2 linked regions of the Cricetulus griseus genome follow. The protein of the gene in region 2 interacts with the protein of the main gene of each other region in a biochemical or structural test. Links are inferred from orthologs where the notes say so. Each region holds a gene or a part of one and is shown on either strand. Other genes may lie near its edges.

Region 1 (5,766 bases), about 4.5 Mb from region 2:
TTAGGTTTGGCTTTTTACCTTCTCCAGGACAAAGCAGGCGCGTTCAATGATTTCTGGATAAACATCAGTGTATTCTCGGATGATATCCCTCAGCATTTCTGTAAGAGAGAAGGGTTAGCATTGAGCTGGATCATAGAGTAGCAGGCCCTTTGGCAGCCCTGGTGAGGGTAGCTCAGCCAGGGTCCTCAAAGGTAGAAATGAGGGAATCAGCTATGCAAGGGAAGGGATGTATAAACAAAAGATGCCTGCAGAGCACACGGACAGGGGAAGGACCTACCAGAGCGCTTGATGGGCACCTTTGTGTAGTCTTTAAGCATCAGGTACTTGACCAACTTATTTGCCTGGGGAGAAAGAAAGAATTAAAATTATGTTTGCAGGAAACTTGGCTGACTACAAGAGAAGGACAAGAGAAAATAAGTGAAGAGATCCAGCACTTACTCTTTCCTGAAGAAGGGCCACATCTCGGGGCTGGGGAGCACCCTGGTTCTGTGAGGCACGGGCGTTTGGGGTGGATCTCAGATTAGGTGAGGGTCGTAAGTTCTGCCAGTCAGGTGGAATCGGCCAATCGGCAGGGATCCAGTCAGGTGGAAAAGGCCAGTCAGTGGAAAATGACCAGTCAGGGGGCAATGACCAATCAGGGGGTATCTGCCAATCTGGAGGGCCTTGCCAATCTTGAGGGCCCTGCCAACTGGGTGGAGCCTGCCAACTAGGTGGGGTCTGCCATCCAGGTGCATTCTGCCAGGCCATTGGGTTTGGCCACACAATTGGACCAGGCCAGACAATGGGGTTTGGCCAGATCACTGGATTCTGCCAGATCACTGGGTTAGGCCAGATCACTGGATTCTGCCATGCAACTGGGTTCTGCCAAGCTGTTGCTGTCTGCCTAGCTGGGGGATTCTGACGTGCTGGTTGGGCCTGCCTGGCTGTCTGGTTTTGCCAGCCTGATGGGTTCTGCCAAGCCAGTGGGGTCTGCCACAGCACATTGGGGGGTGCGCCAGGTGGGTTCTGAGTGGTCACCGGAACTGGAGCAGACCTCCAGTTCCCTGAAGCTAGTGAGGCCCGCCTTTGATCCCCACTGCTGTTCTCTTCCACATTCAAGTTATTAATCTGCATCGTAAGAGAAAAGAAAATTCCAGAGTCACTATTAATCCTTGGTCCTCCCAGCAGCTAATCTAGGAAGTTCCTATGAATTTTCCACCTATAAGGACATTCTGACCCTTCACTAGTCATCGGTCACTTTATGTTTATTTTTCATTGTCTTTCAGGTGGGAGATTCATGTCCAAACCAGACCAAGAACAACCATAAAGTGGGGACTAGGGCTTCTCCTTTTCCTGTGTGACTACTGCTATCATCCTGAATTCAAGCCATCTCATTTCATCCTGTGTTTTCTCTAGCTAGTGAGGTGAAGCTTCAATGATAATTTGGTGTGAGCCAGCCTAGCTTACGACCTCACCCATGGTGTTTACTGTCAAAATGTAAAATGACCTATACACAGGTGGTACGGTGATCCAGATTATCTGTCCTTGTATAAACTCACCATCAACCTGTGGACAATCAGGGGTCAGGAATAAACATTTACCTCAACACCCCCTAAAACCTAGCCCCAATACAGGTATATGCGCCCTTTATTTTGTTTGGAGCTAAGTAAAGCTAGGAGGGATCTCACCTTGCGGGTCCTCTTGCCCCGAATTATAGTCCGAGACTCCACATTCTGAGCCTGGGAGCCATCGGCTGAGGTCTGTGCAGCTGCACCACCAGTTTCAGAGATACCTGGGCTGGTCCCTACATTAGCCATTTTGGCCTGGTTTACATTCTGGATCTGGGCATCAGCTGCAGGGACCTTAGTGGTATCATTCCAAGCCTTAGTAGCTGTCTTAGGCTGGTTGTTGATCATCTCATTGGCACTGGGAGACTGAGAGAAATTGTAGGTGGCACCAGGGCCTGCCTTAGTAGTGGTATTCTGGACCTTAAAGGCTATTTCAGACTTTTTAGCTGCTGATTTGCCTGTGGTTGCTCCGTGGGAAAAATTAGAGGCAGCATTTGGCCCTTTAGAGGTGCCATTATGTGACTTATAGGCCGCCTTAGACTGGTTCTTGGACATCTCCTTGGCATTACGTGCGTGAGAGAAATCATTTGGACCCTTTGAGAAGGTATTCTGGGCTCTAAAGCCTGTCTTAGGCCTAGCAGCTGCTGTTGAAACCCCAGTATCAGCCACCTGATTGGCAGTTGGGGGCTGTGAACTCTGGGGACTAACATTCTGCCCACTGGCAGCTGCTGTGGCCTGGTTGGTGGGTGGAGCCTCGGAGATCTGGATGGCTTCCATCAAGGTCTGCACAAGCAAGGCGCTGTCTTCTACAGAGGCCTCAGCCTGCAAATACAGGAGGGGGAATTTCAACCTCTGGGCCTTACAAGCCAGATCAGAAGGAGGGGCATACGCAGCAGGGGAGCTGTAGACACGCATCGCAGTTCACAGATCTGGGGGCACAGAAGGGTCAAAGGGAGGCGGGGTGGGAACAAAATTTGGTTAAGAATAGAGGGGGCAGGACAAGGTGAGGGCAGTCAGAGGCAGCAGGGACTGGTGAGGAACCGTGGTGCAACCACTGACCCCAAACAGGTTCAGAGCCGGACTGGTTAGGCTTGCGGTGGGGAGCTCAAGACCCGAGGAGGAGGAGGGAGGAATCGCGGAGGATAAGCAGGGAGGGTGGAGGGGGAGTCTCGCGGCGTGGAGAAAGGGAGGGTGGAGGCGAGAGGTTGGGGGATGGGGCGACAGACTGCTCTACACGCGTCAGGGTTATGGAAAAAAAAATGGTTCCTTACCCAACCCGCATTCTCTGGGCAGAATGCCCTGACTAACAGGGTCTCCCCTTTCTCTAAGCAGGGACCGATGGCTGAAAAGGGACGCCCCTCCCCCCATTCGATAAACGCTAGACATTTGAGAGCCAGCGGAGTCTAGGCCGGAAGAAGGGCAAAATCAGAGCCTGCCATTTGTGCCACCAAAGGGGCCGGGGGGTGCGCGTAATCTGTCAGCAGGGAAAATGGAGGAATGGGGAGCGGGGATCTCACCTGGTAGCCGCGGAGGCCTGCACCGCCGTCCGGTTTCTGAGCCATAGCTCTTGTGTCTCTGGCAAGAGCAGAGCCTAGGGGGGTGTGGGAGAGGAACTAGGCATTACACTACAGAAGGAAAATACGTAGGGCCGAATTGTGTGTGCGTGTGTGGTTTGATGCTGGGGGCGGGTGAGGTGCTGGATAAGGGGAGAAACAAGCCTAATCAGAGCGGGAAAAGTAAATGAGCATCCTGATGGGCAATTTAAAAATTCCAGAACCCGATAGGGAAAAGCTTCAAATCCGCGTTCTGGAATCTGATAAGAGCTCTGAATGCGGCAGTTTTCGGGGGGCGGGGGAGAGCGAGGGGGAAAAATTCGCTTCTGGAAAGTTGGATTGAGGTTCTCAATCAAAAGGAATCTATAACGGATCAAGGTCGAGAAATTTGAGGATTCTGTGAAGGAATGGGATAAGGATTCAGAGAATGAACGGGGTTCTAAATTAGATGGGGGGGGGGGTAAGAATCAGGGATCGGGTAGTGGAGGGGGTTTCTGAATCCAGGGTAAAGGGATTGGGATAAAAGAATGGGGGAAGGATGCCACACCAGGGGGCAGATGCCCAGTCTGGGGGCTAATCTCACCTTGCCTCAGGCCCCAACCCCAACCCCCTTGCTGTCTCCCTTCTTCACGACTCAGAGGATCAGGATTGCTGTGCTCGGCTCTCAGCAGCCGCACTCTCTCCTTGTCCAGGAGAAAATGCCAGCGCGGCAGCTCGGGCGACCCCGCCTCTTCGCCTAATATACCACCCACCGCCTCAGGAAGCCTCGCGCATGCGCAATAGCTAACTGTCCAAATAAGAGTCCCGCTTGCTTTCCCAACAAAAGCTTCATCCTAGAGACCTTGTCGCGCATGTGCACTTGGAGGAGATCCCGCCTCTTTGCCAACACACTATCCCACCGCCAACCAGGTTGACAGTGTACGAAGGTTCCTCCCCTTCTTCTTACGCACCCACTCCTCCAACAGATGCGCAGCGCCTTTTGGTCCCACCCCCTTGCCCAACACACCAGCCCCCTACCTTTATCCGCAATGCGTCTCTCCTCAGTCCCTCCCTTCCCCCCCCACCCAGGACTCTCTAGCCAGGCCTGCAAGTACCTCCCACCCCTTGCTTAGGGCCTCTTAGGTAGGCCTCTGCGGGGGGTCTCTTAGTTCGCTGCAAGCTAGGCCTCTGCTGAGTTCACCCACTTTGCAACGCAGGAACCTTAAAGGTCGGCCTTGGGGGGGATACATTCCAGGAGGTAGCAAAGCAAGTGCCAGCCAGGGGGTAGATTTCCTCTGACCAGACTCAGAAAATGAGCTTTTCTCTTGCCGCCCTCCCCACCCCGTTTTCTTTTTATTTATTTATTTATTTATTTATTTATTTATTTATTTATTTATTTGCAGTTTTGCCATGGAAACATTTCATGAGGTGTGGGCCAGAGAGGGGAGGGAAAGGCATAAGGGCAGTGGGATCTGTCCTGGAGCTGGTTTTTCTCGAACATCAGCCCTAGAAGATTGATGGAGGGCAACATCTTCATTTTGCATACCAGGTAGCTAAATCATAAACCCACTGTATGAACCAGGGCACTGAGCAAGTAACAAACAGAGAGGGCAAAATTTGGCACAGCACAGTGGTGCACACTGGTAATCCCAGCACTCTGGAGACTGAGTGAGGAAAGCCACGAGTTCCAGGCCAGGTGCACAACGCTGAGACTTTATCCAAAAACCAAACATGGGGCGGGGCGGGGGGGTGGGGTGCGGATTTTCCTGACTGCAAAATCTATATAGCTATTAGTGCTGGTCTGAGAATCAAGACACCCCTTAATTTTTCATTGAAATGACAATCTTTCCTCTCCCCAATATTTGTTCCAAGTGGACAAAGCCTGTGTTCTAAGAGGCCTAGTATATGTGGGAACCCTTCAGGTTCACTCTGTACTCCCGTTGGCAGGCACTTGCCCAGAGTGAGACCCCAGGACTTGATGATGCTTGCTTGAGGCCGGAGCAGTCAGGTGTGTCTGTTCTGTTCTTGCAGAATGAACCTCGGCTGGGCTTTAGAATTGCGTGATTAGTGTCGGGACTATCTGTCCCTGGTTATGTGAGCCCCTGAGAATATAGTCACTTTAGTCAACTTTGGTAAGCCTGGTTTACTGACTACCCAAAATAAGAATCACAGAAAGGGGGCCCTGTCCAAGGACACACAGCCTGCTGTGCTTCCAAGATGGCTGAAGAGACAAACGCAGAAAAAATGACATACAGATACGAAGTGACTCAAACCAAACCCATAGGTTCCCAAAATCCAAGGCAGATTTTAGCGCGTTTCCCATTTATTCTGGCGTCAGCAAGGAGCCTGCATATGAAAGAAAGCTAATGCTAGGAAGGACTGCAGCATTTAGTCCCCAAGGGCCGACATCAATTCTGCCAGGCTGGATGACTTCCCTCATCTGTTGCATAGCAACCTCCTCTGTCAGCTGCCTGTTTTTCCTCAGCACTTCCTCTGTAGAGCGTCTGCAGTGGGACGTGACCAGACTCGGGAAAGGAGGTTGAGGTGCCATTTTATGTATTATCTGCTTCCATGTCTGTGTCTTCAGTCATGACGCAGATTAAAACTTTCATACTCCTCACCTACTGCTCCCTCCCTTCTCCAGCTGAATATCTCTTAAAAGTCTCAAAATTATTATTACCAAATTT
Region 2 (5,775 bases):
CCATCTGCAAAGCCATCAAATAGGCTCCAGTCCACTTCTAGGTCTTCGCTCACACTGGAGTCATCTTCCAGGTTGTTGTTTCCATCCAGCACGAACATCCCAGGCTGCATCATCTCATGGCCGGACTCATTATCCGCTTCACTGCTGCTTTCATTCTCATTGTACCGGAGCCAAGGAATTTCTCCTTCTTCCAGGGAGGCCTGCTCTTCCTGAAGAGACGGTTCTTGCACTTCTTCAGGATAGCCACTTCCATTGCTGCCAACACTGGTACTGGCAAGGCTCCCAGCTCCGCTGGCGTTCACACTCTCACAAGCTTGCTGAGGTTCCGGTTCTTCCTTTACTGGCAGAGGCTCCCAGTTTTCCCCACTGGAAGACTGGGGTTGTTCCCGATTTCGATACTTCCTGCGCAGAGCAGCCATCCATTCTTTGTCACTGTCAGAATCTTCTTCATAGTATCTGTAGTAGTCATCAGTATATGCCCAGAAGTCAGAGTCAGCCATGGTGCGTCGCCGTCTTGACACTTTCTCTGGTTTCACCTGCCCATTCCTGTTATCCTTCTTGTCTTCAGGATACTTTGGCTCAGAGGAGCTGCCTGCACCCTCACCTCGGGCTCTTCTTGCTAGGCCCTCTGCATGGGCTTCGCCAGCATCAGCACTGGCAGCATCTCTCCACCTGGGAGTACTCTGTGGTACTACATCATCATCATCATCAGTATCAAAAAATATTTTTGGTTTCATGCAGTTTGGAGTCGCCACATTCCGGACTTTTGGCCTTACCACCGGCTCCTCTGCACTCTTTGGGGAGTTTTCCCCACCACCACCACACATACTCACAGGAGCCCTGCTAGGACGTGCTAATAAATTCTGCCTCTCCCTCTCCAAGCTGTTGTTACCCCTTGCAACTGCCCTGCCTTCAGCAGAGGACATCTGAGAGGCCATACCACTTTGCTTCAAGAACTCAGCTCTGCTAGCAGAGCACCTTGCAGCAGGAGGGGGTTCTACCTTGCCAAGCCCCTCTTTCACATCATGGTTAACACTAGAGAAGCGGGGAGCTCTTGCCCCCTTCTCTGGATCATGCTTAAACTTGCCAGTTTTCCCTCTCACTGGCAGTCTGTCAACAGGCCCAGCCCCCTCCTCCTCACTATCACGTGCCCTCAGAGTGCCAATATGTCCATAAGCCAATCCTCTTCGGCTCCCGGAGGCCCTGTACTCTCTTGGAGGATACCTGGGATAATCCCCATTCTCAACATTCAGGCTGGTTCCAGAGCTCTCTCTGTCATCCCAACGACGTCGTGTGCTGGCAAATGGTGACCGGCTCCTCTTGGTGTGATTGGGGGCTGATCTGTGCATTGGGACTTCGGATGTTGTCCTTCTCTGGCTGGCAATCCTTTCCTGATGGCTTGTGGACCGCCTGAAACTGACATAAGCATGTCTCCTTCCATAACTCCTGACTGCATTGGACCGATACCCTCCTGCTGGTTTGGGCCGAACAGGCTTGCTAGATTCCTGACCCATGGCTGACTCTGAGATTCCACCAGAGCTGGGATGCAGGTGCAAAGGCTCTTGCTCCCAGGTCAGAACTACAGAATAAGGAGATCTAGTTTTCCTTCAGTAGGCAGGTAAGAGAGAGATAGGGGCCCTTTAAAATTAGTTTCACTGTCTTTTAAGGCCTGAGGTAGCATTCCTGTGACTGGTGTAGACCTGAAACACATTTTTAGTGTTTGCAAAATGATTACAGGACTGAGTTCACAAGAAAGGTGGGGAATAAGACAGAATGTGTGTGTGAAAGAGTATGTGTGTGTGTGAAAATGTGTGTGTGTGAGAGAGAGGGAGAGAGTATGTGTGTATGTGTGTGTGAGAGAGCATGTGTGTGGGGGGGCGGTGATTGAATGCTTAGAATGTAGATGTGCTGTGGAAATATGGGAAGAGTAAAGCCCGCTGTGAGCTTGGATTTTTTGGGGGGAAAGGGGAGATGTAGTTTTCTGAGAACTGCAGATATTGAGAAGAAATACAATTTAGAACAGAACTGAAAATATAGTTCACTGTGTATGCGTGCACAAGTGCAGTGTCTGTCAGGAGAGAGACAGGTGGATAAGGGGCCAGCAATCCTGCAATGCAGGGATTTCTGTAGGGGGTGGGAATGACAAGAATGGGTGGGGCAGTTTTAGAGGGGAAGGCTGTGAGTATGAGAGAAGAGAAGAGGCAGTGCTCCTGTTAAGTGTGGCAGCTGGAACTATAGAGGGAAGCCTGCATTCCACAGGCAAGGAAGTGAAAGGGTATTGGTAGCAATGAGGAAAGTGTATAAAAGTCAATATGGGAGGCAACAAGGGGCAGAAAAAAAGCACAGAGGATGTATGTGGCGGATGGAATACAGAGGCCAGCAACTAAAGAATGCTAGAATATGTTAGTATGGCAAACAGGAAAGGGGGTACTGTCCCCAGAGGATTTGTGTGTGAAGGTGAAGTATGGAACAGAGGAGAAAAGAACATTTGAGAAGAGTGTGTGAGCCAGCTTCCTATGTGTACATGTATGTAAGGAAAGCAACAGAAGGATGAAGATGTCTTTAGATGTGTGTGTATAGCAGACATGAACAGGGAGGCCATTTTTCAGAGAGGGGGAGGGGGAGGGGAAGGAGAGAGAGAGAGGGACAGGGAGGGAGGGGGGATGAGAGAGAGAGAGGGTGAGGGAGAAGGGGGTAGGGGAGGGTGGGGGGAGGGAGGGAGGGAGAATACACTCTCAAACACGGGTCAGAGGAGAAGGACAGGGAAGATTCTAGAGATAGGAGGTAGGTGAGGGGAGAGGAAGGAACTAGAGGGTGTGAGAGAGGGTGTGTGTGCTTGCCTGTTTGCACATGCGCAGAGGAGCTCTCGGAAACCTTGAGGATGCAGGGACAGGGACCAGACTGCAAAGGAGGTTTGTGTGTGCCTGTGCGTGTGCCCGTGTACGCGCACGCGCGTGCGTGCGACACAGAGGAGGGGGTGCAATGTCATAATAAGAGACAGGAATACGTCCTTAGCTCAAAGGGCAAACCCAAATCAATGTGGCAGGCCAAAAGAAAGAAAAAGGTTTCGTGTAGGAATCCTGATTTTCCCTCAGAATACTGTTTATCTTTTAGTAATTATTTTATTGAGCACATATTTTGTAGCTAAAAATCTTAGCCCTGTGCCATTATACATAACAGCAGCGAAATGGGTGAAGAAAGGCTATAGAGTGCTCTCAAAGACGCCAAGAGCATTGCAAGGAGAGACAGGTAGGAGTGGCAGAGGGCCGCGACCACCAGACCTCTCTCCGACAGCCATGAAGGCCATTCGGGCTAGGGCCATAAGGCTAGGCAGGAGCTGGGCAGCAAGGGATGCGGTCCCCAATGAGGCCACAGGCCTCGGCATGTGGTCAAGTCCCCTCTGCCCCACCCCGCTCCCAAGATAAACCCGCAAAGGGGTCATTGGAATTCTGCCCATGCCCATCCGGCAAGGCTCGCCCACCTGTCCGGGCTACTACAGCAGGCTGCCTTGCACTCACCTTCCCGGCCAGTCGCGTGCTCAGAGCTGCAGAGCCGATGGACCTTCGGTCGCCACCACCACCACCGCTGCTGCTCCGGGTCTCGGCTCCTCCCCCGCTAAAGAGCACTAGGGCAGGCGGGGACTGCGGCGGCGGAAGTGGCCGTGACGTCAGCGCGAGTCCGCCCCCTTGATGTGGCGGGGGCGGGCTACTGCCCTCTGCAAATCCGGGTGGGCTCGAAAGCGTTATTTCGTTTGAAACGCTCAGCTTTTTCAGGGACACACACACAAACACAAAGGCAGCAAGAACTGTAACAGTTCTAACAAATGTTAAACGTTTGTCACCTTCCTTCAGTTGCTTTCTTTAATAAACTGAAATCTGAACATTCTGATTAATTCTAACATTATAGTTAATTATATTACTATATCACATCCTATGTTACATGCTATGGTTTTTCTGTGGATATTAAAATCTATAGCGGTATTTAGAGTTGCAGTAGAAACATCAATTTTTTTAAGCCTGGTGTCTGAGGCAAACCGAAGATGTTTGCAGTGAAATATAGTACTGTCGTCACAAAACCAGGCTTGTCTATCCATTACATTACATGCAACACAGGTTCACATTTTGTGAATTGCAACACATTTTAAAATGTCAGAGATGGGCTGGGCGATGGTGGCGCACACCTTTAATCCTGGCACTTGGGAGGCAGAGGCAGGTGGATCTCTGTGTTTTGGAGACCAGCCTGGTCTACAAGAGCTAGTTCCAGGACAGCCTCCAAAGCCACACAGAAACCCTGATTCGACAAACCAAAACCAACCAAACAAACAAACAAATGGCCGAGTGTGGTGGCCCATGTCTTTAAACCCAGCACACAGAAGCAGGCAGACCTCTGAGTTTGAAGACAACCTGGTCTACAAAGCCAGTTCCAGGGCAGCCAGGACTACACAGAGAAACCCAGTCTCTGAAAAATAAACAAAACAAAGTAAGTCACAGATAAACCCTTCCTGAACTCTTTGAATTACATGGATAGATACTCAGATCAATGTAGAGTTCTTGAGTTCACAGTAGTAGCAAAGATTTGCTCTCAGGAGAAATACAACGTGTAGTAGAACAAAACAAAAACCCTTCAAGGGTGACAATACAAACAGTATGGGTATTTCCTATTAAAAGAATACTGTGTGACCCTGAGGGGGCAAAATCCAAAAAAGGGCAAAAAAAAAAAAAAACAACCCAACAAACAAACAAAAAACGAGAGGGTGAGCAAGAACAAAGTGTGTAGAAAGAGAAAACAACACTTAACAGTGTGTAGTATGGACTATTAACTACATAAAATCAAATTCACTCTACATGGTAGCTCATGCTTTTGACCCCATCCCTCCAGAGGCAAGAGGATTTATGTTTTTTTTCCAGGACAGTCTGGTCTATATAGAGACTTCCAGGACAGCCAGGGTCTCAAAACAAAACAAAAATTGGAGCATTTCTTTTTTCCTTCCTTTTTTTGGGGGGTGGAGTGGAATGTGCATAGGGATTGTTATAGTCATTGTCAGACAAGGTCTCATTATGTATGTAGCTCAGGTTTACCTTGAACTTTCTAGGTTATCAAGCTTGCACCATTAAAAGTAGCGATGCTAATATACAAATAAAGAATTCAAAGTAAAAAGCGTCTAAGAGAACACAATAGTCATTTCAGAAACCACAAGAGAGAATGATCACAATATTTATGCACCAAGCAGTTCAGTTTCAAAATATATGGAGCCACTGCTGTTAGAAATACAAAGACACCAGGAAGTGGACAATTGCAGCAGAAGTTTTAACTCACGATGTTTATTGTATAGACAGATCAAATGGACTTGTAAATAATTAAGGACATAGGAGACTGACCAACACAATAACTAAGCTGGAACTAATGTTCCAGCACTTTGGACTCAAGACGATGCATTTTTAAATAAAAATTTTATTTAAAATTTATTTGGAACAGGAAAACAGTATAAAATACATATTTGAATTCATCTGTCATACCGACTGAGCAACTTTTGCTTTCTTTCAAGCTTCAGACCCTCTACTTTTTGAAACAAGGAAATTACAGCTGAAGCCTTGGCATTATCCGATTCCCCTTAACTTGGATCATTTGTGTCTAGTGAGATTATGAGAATTCAAAGACCATTTTAGGATATGGCTCCTTGTGTCCTCCAGGGTAGTTTTCCACTCGACCTATGGTTGTTTTGCAAGTTTAATCTTCTTGGCCCTCCAGGAAGCGAGATGAGTCTGACTTCTCCTA

The links.
Region 1: the proteins of Pja1 (region 2) and Maged1 form a complex in vitro, tested with the Homo sapiens proteins (2 studies listed by BioGRID, with this or other methods). The link is inferred for Cricetulus griseus from reciprocal best matches to the Homo sapiens genes PJA1 and MAGED1.

Annotation. Positions count from the first base shown.
Region 1 is NC_048604.1:75,451,052-75,456,817, reverse strand, and holds the start of Maged1 (melanoma-associated antigen D1), read right to left. Parts: upstream 3,850-5,766; 5' UTR 3,684-3,849; intron 3,139-3,683; 5' UTR 3,110-3,138; coding exon 3,065-3,109; intron 2,370-3,064; coding exon 1,668-2,369; intron 1,108-1,667; coding exon 439-1,107; intron 342-438; coding exon 278-341; intron 99-277; coding exon 19-98; intron 1-18. UniProt on the Homo sapiens protein: Involved in the apoptotic response after nerve growth factor (NGF) binding in neuronal cells. Inhibits cell cycle progression, and facilitates NGFR-mediated apoptosis. May act as a regulator of the function of DLX family members.
Region 2 is NC_048604.1:70,902,751-70,908,525, reverse strand, and holds the start of Pja1 (E3 ubiquitin-protein ligase Praja-1), read right to left. Parts: upstream 3,617-5,775; 5' UTR 3,519-3,616; intron 1,580-3,518; 5' UTR 1,515-1,579; coding exon 1-1,514. UniProt on the Homo sapiens protein: Has E2-dependent E3 ubiquitin-protein ligase activity. Ubiquitinates MAGED1 antigen leading to its subsequent degradation by proteasome. May be involved in protein sorting.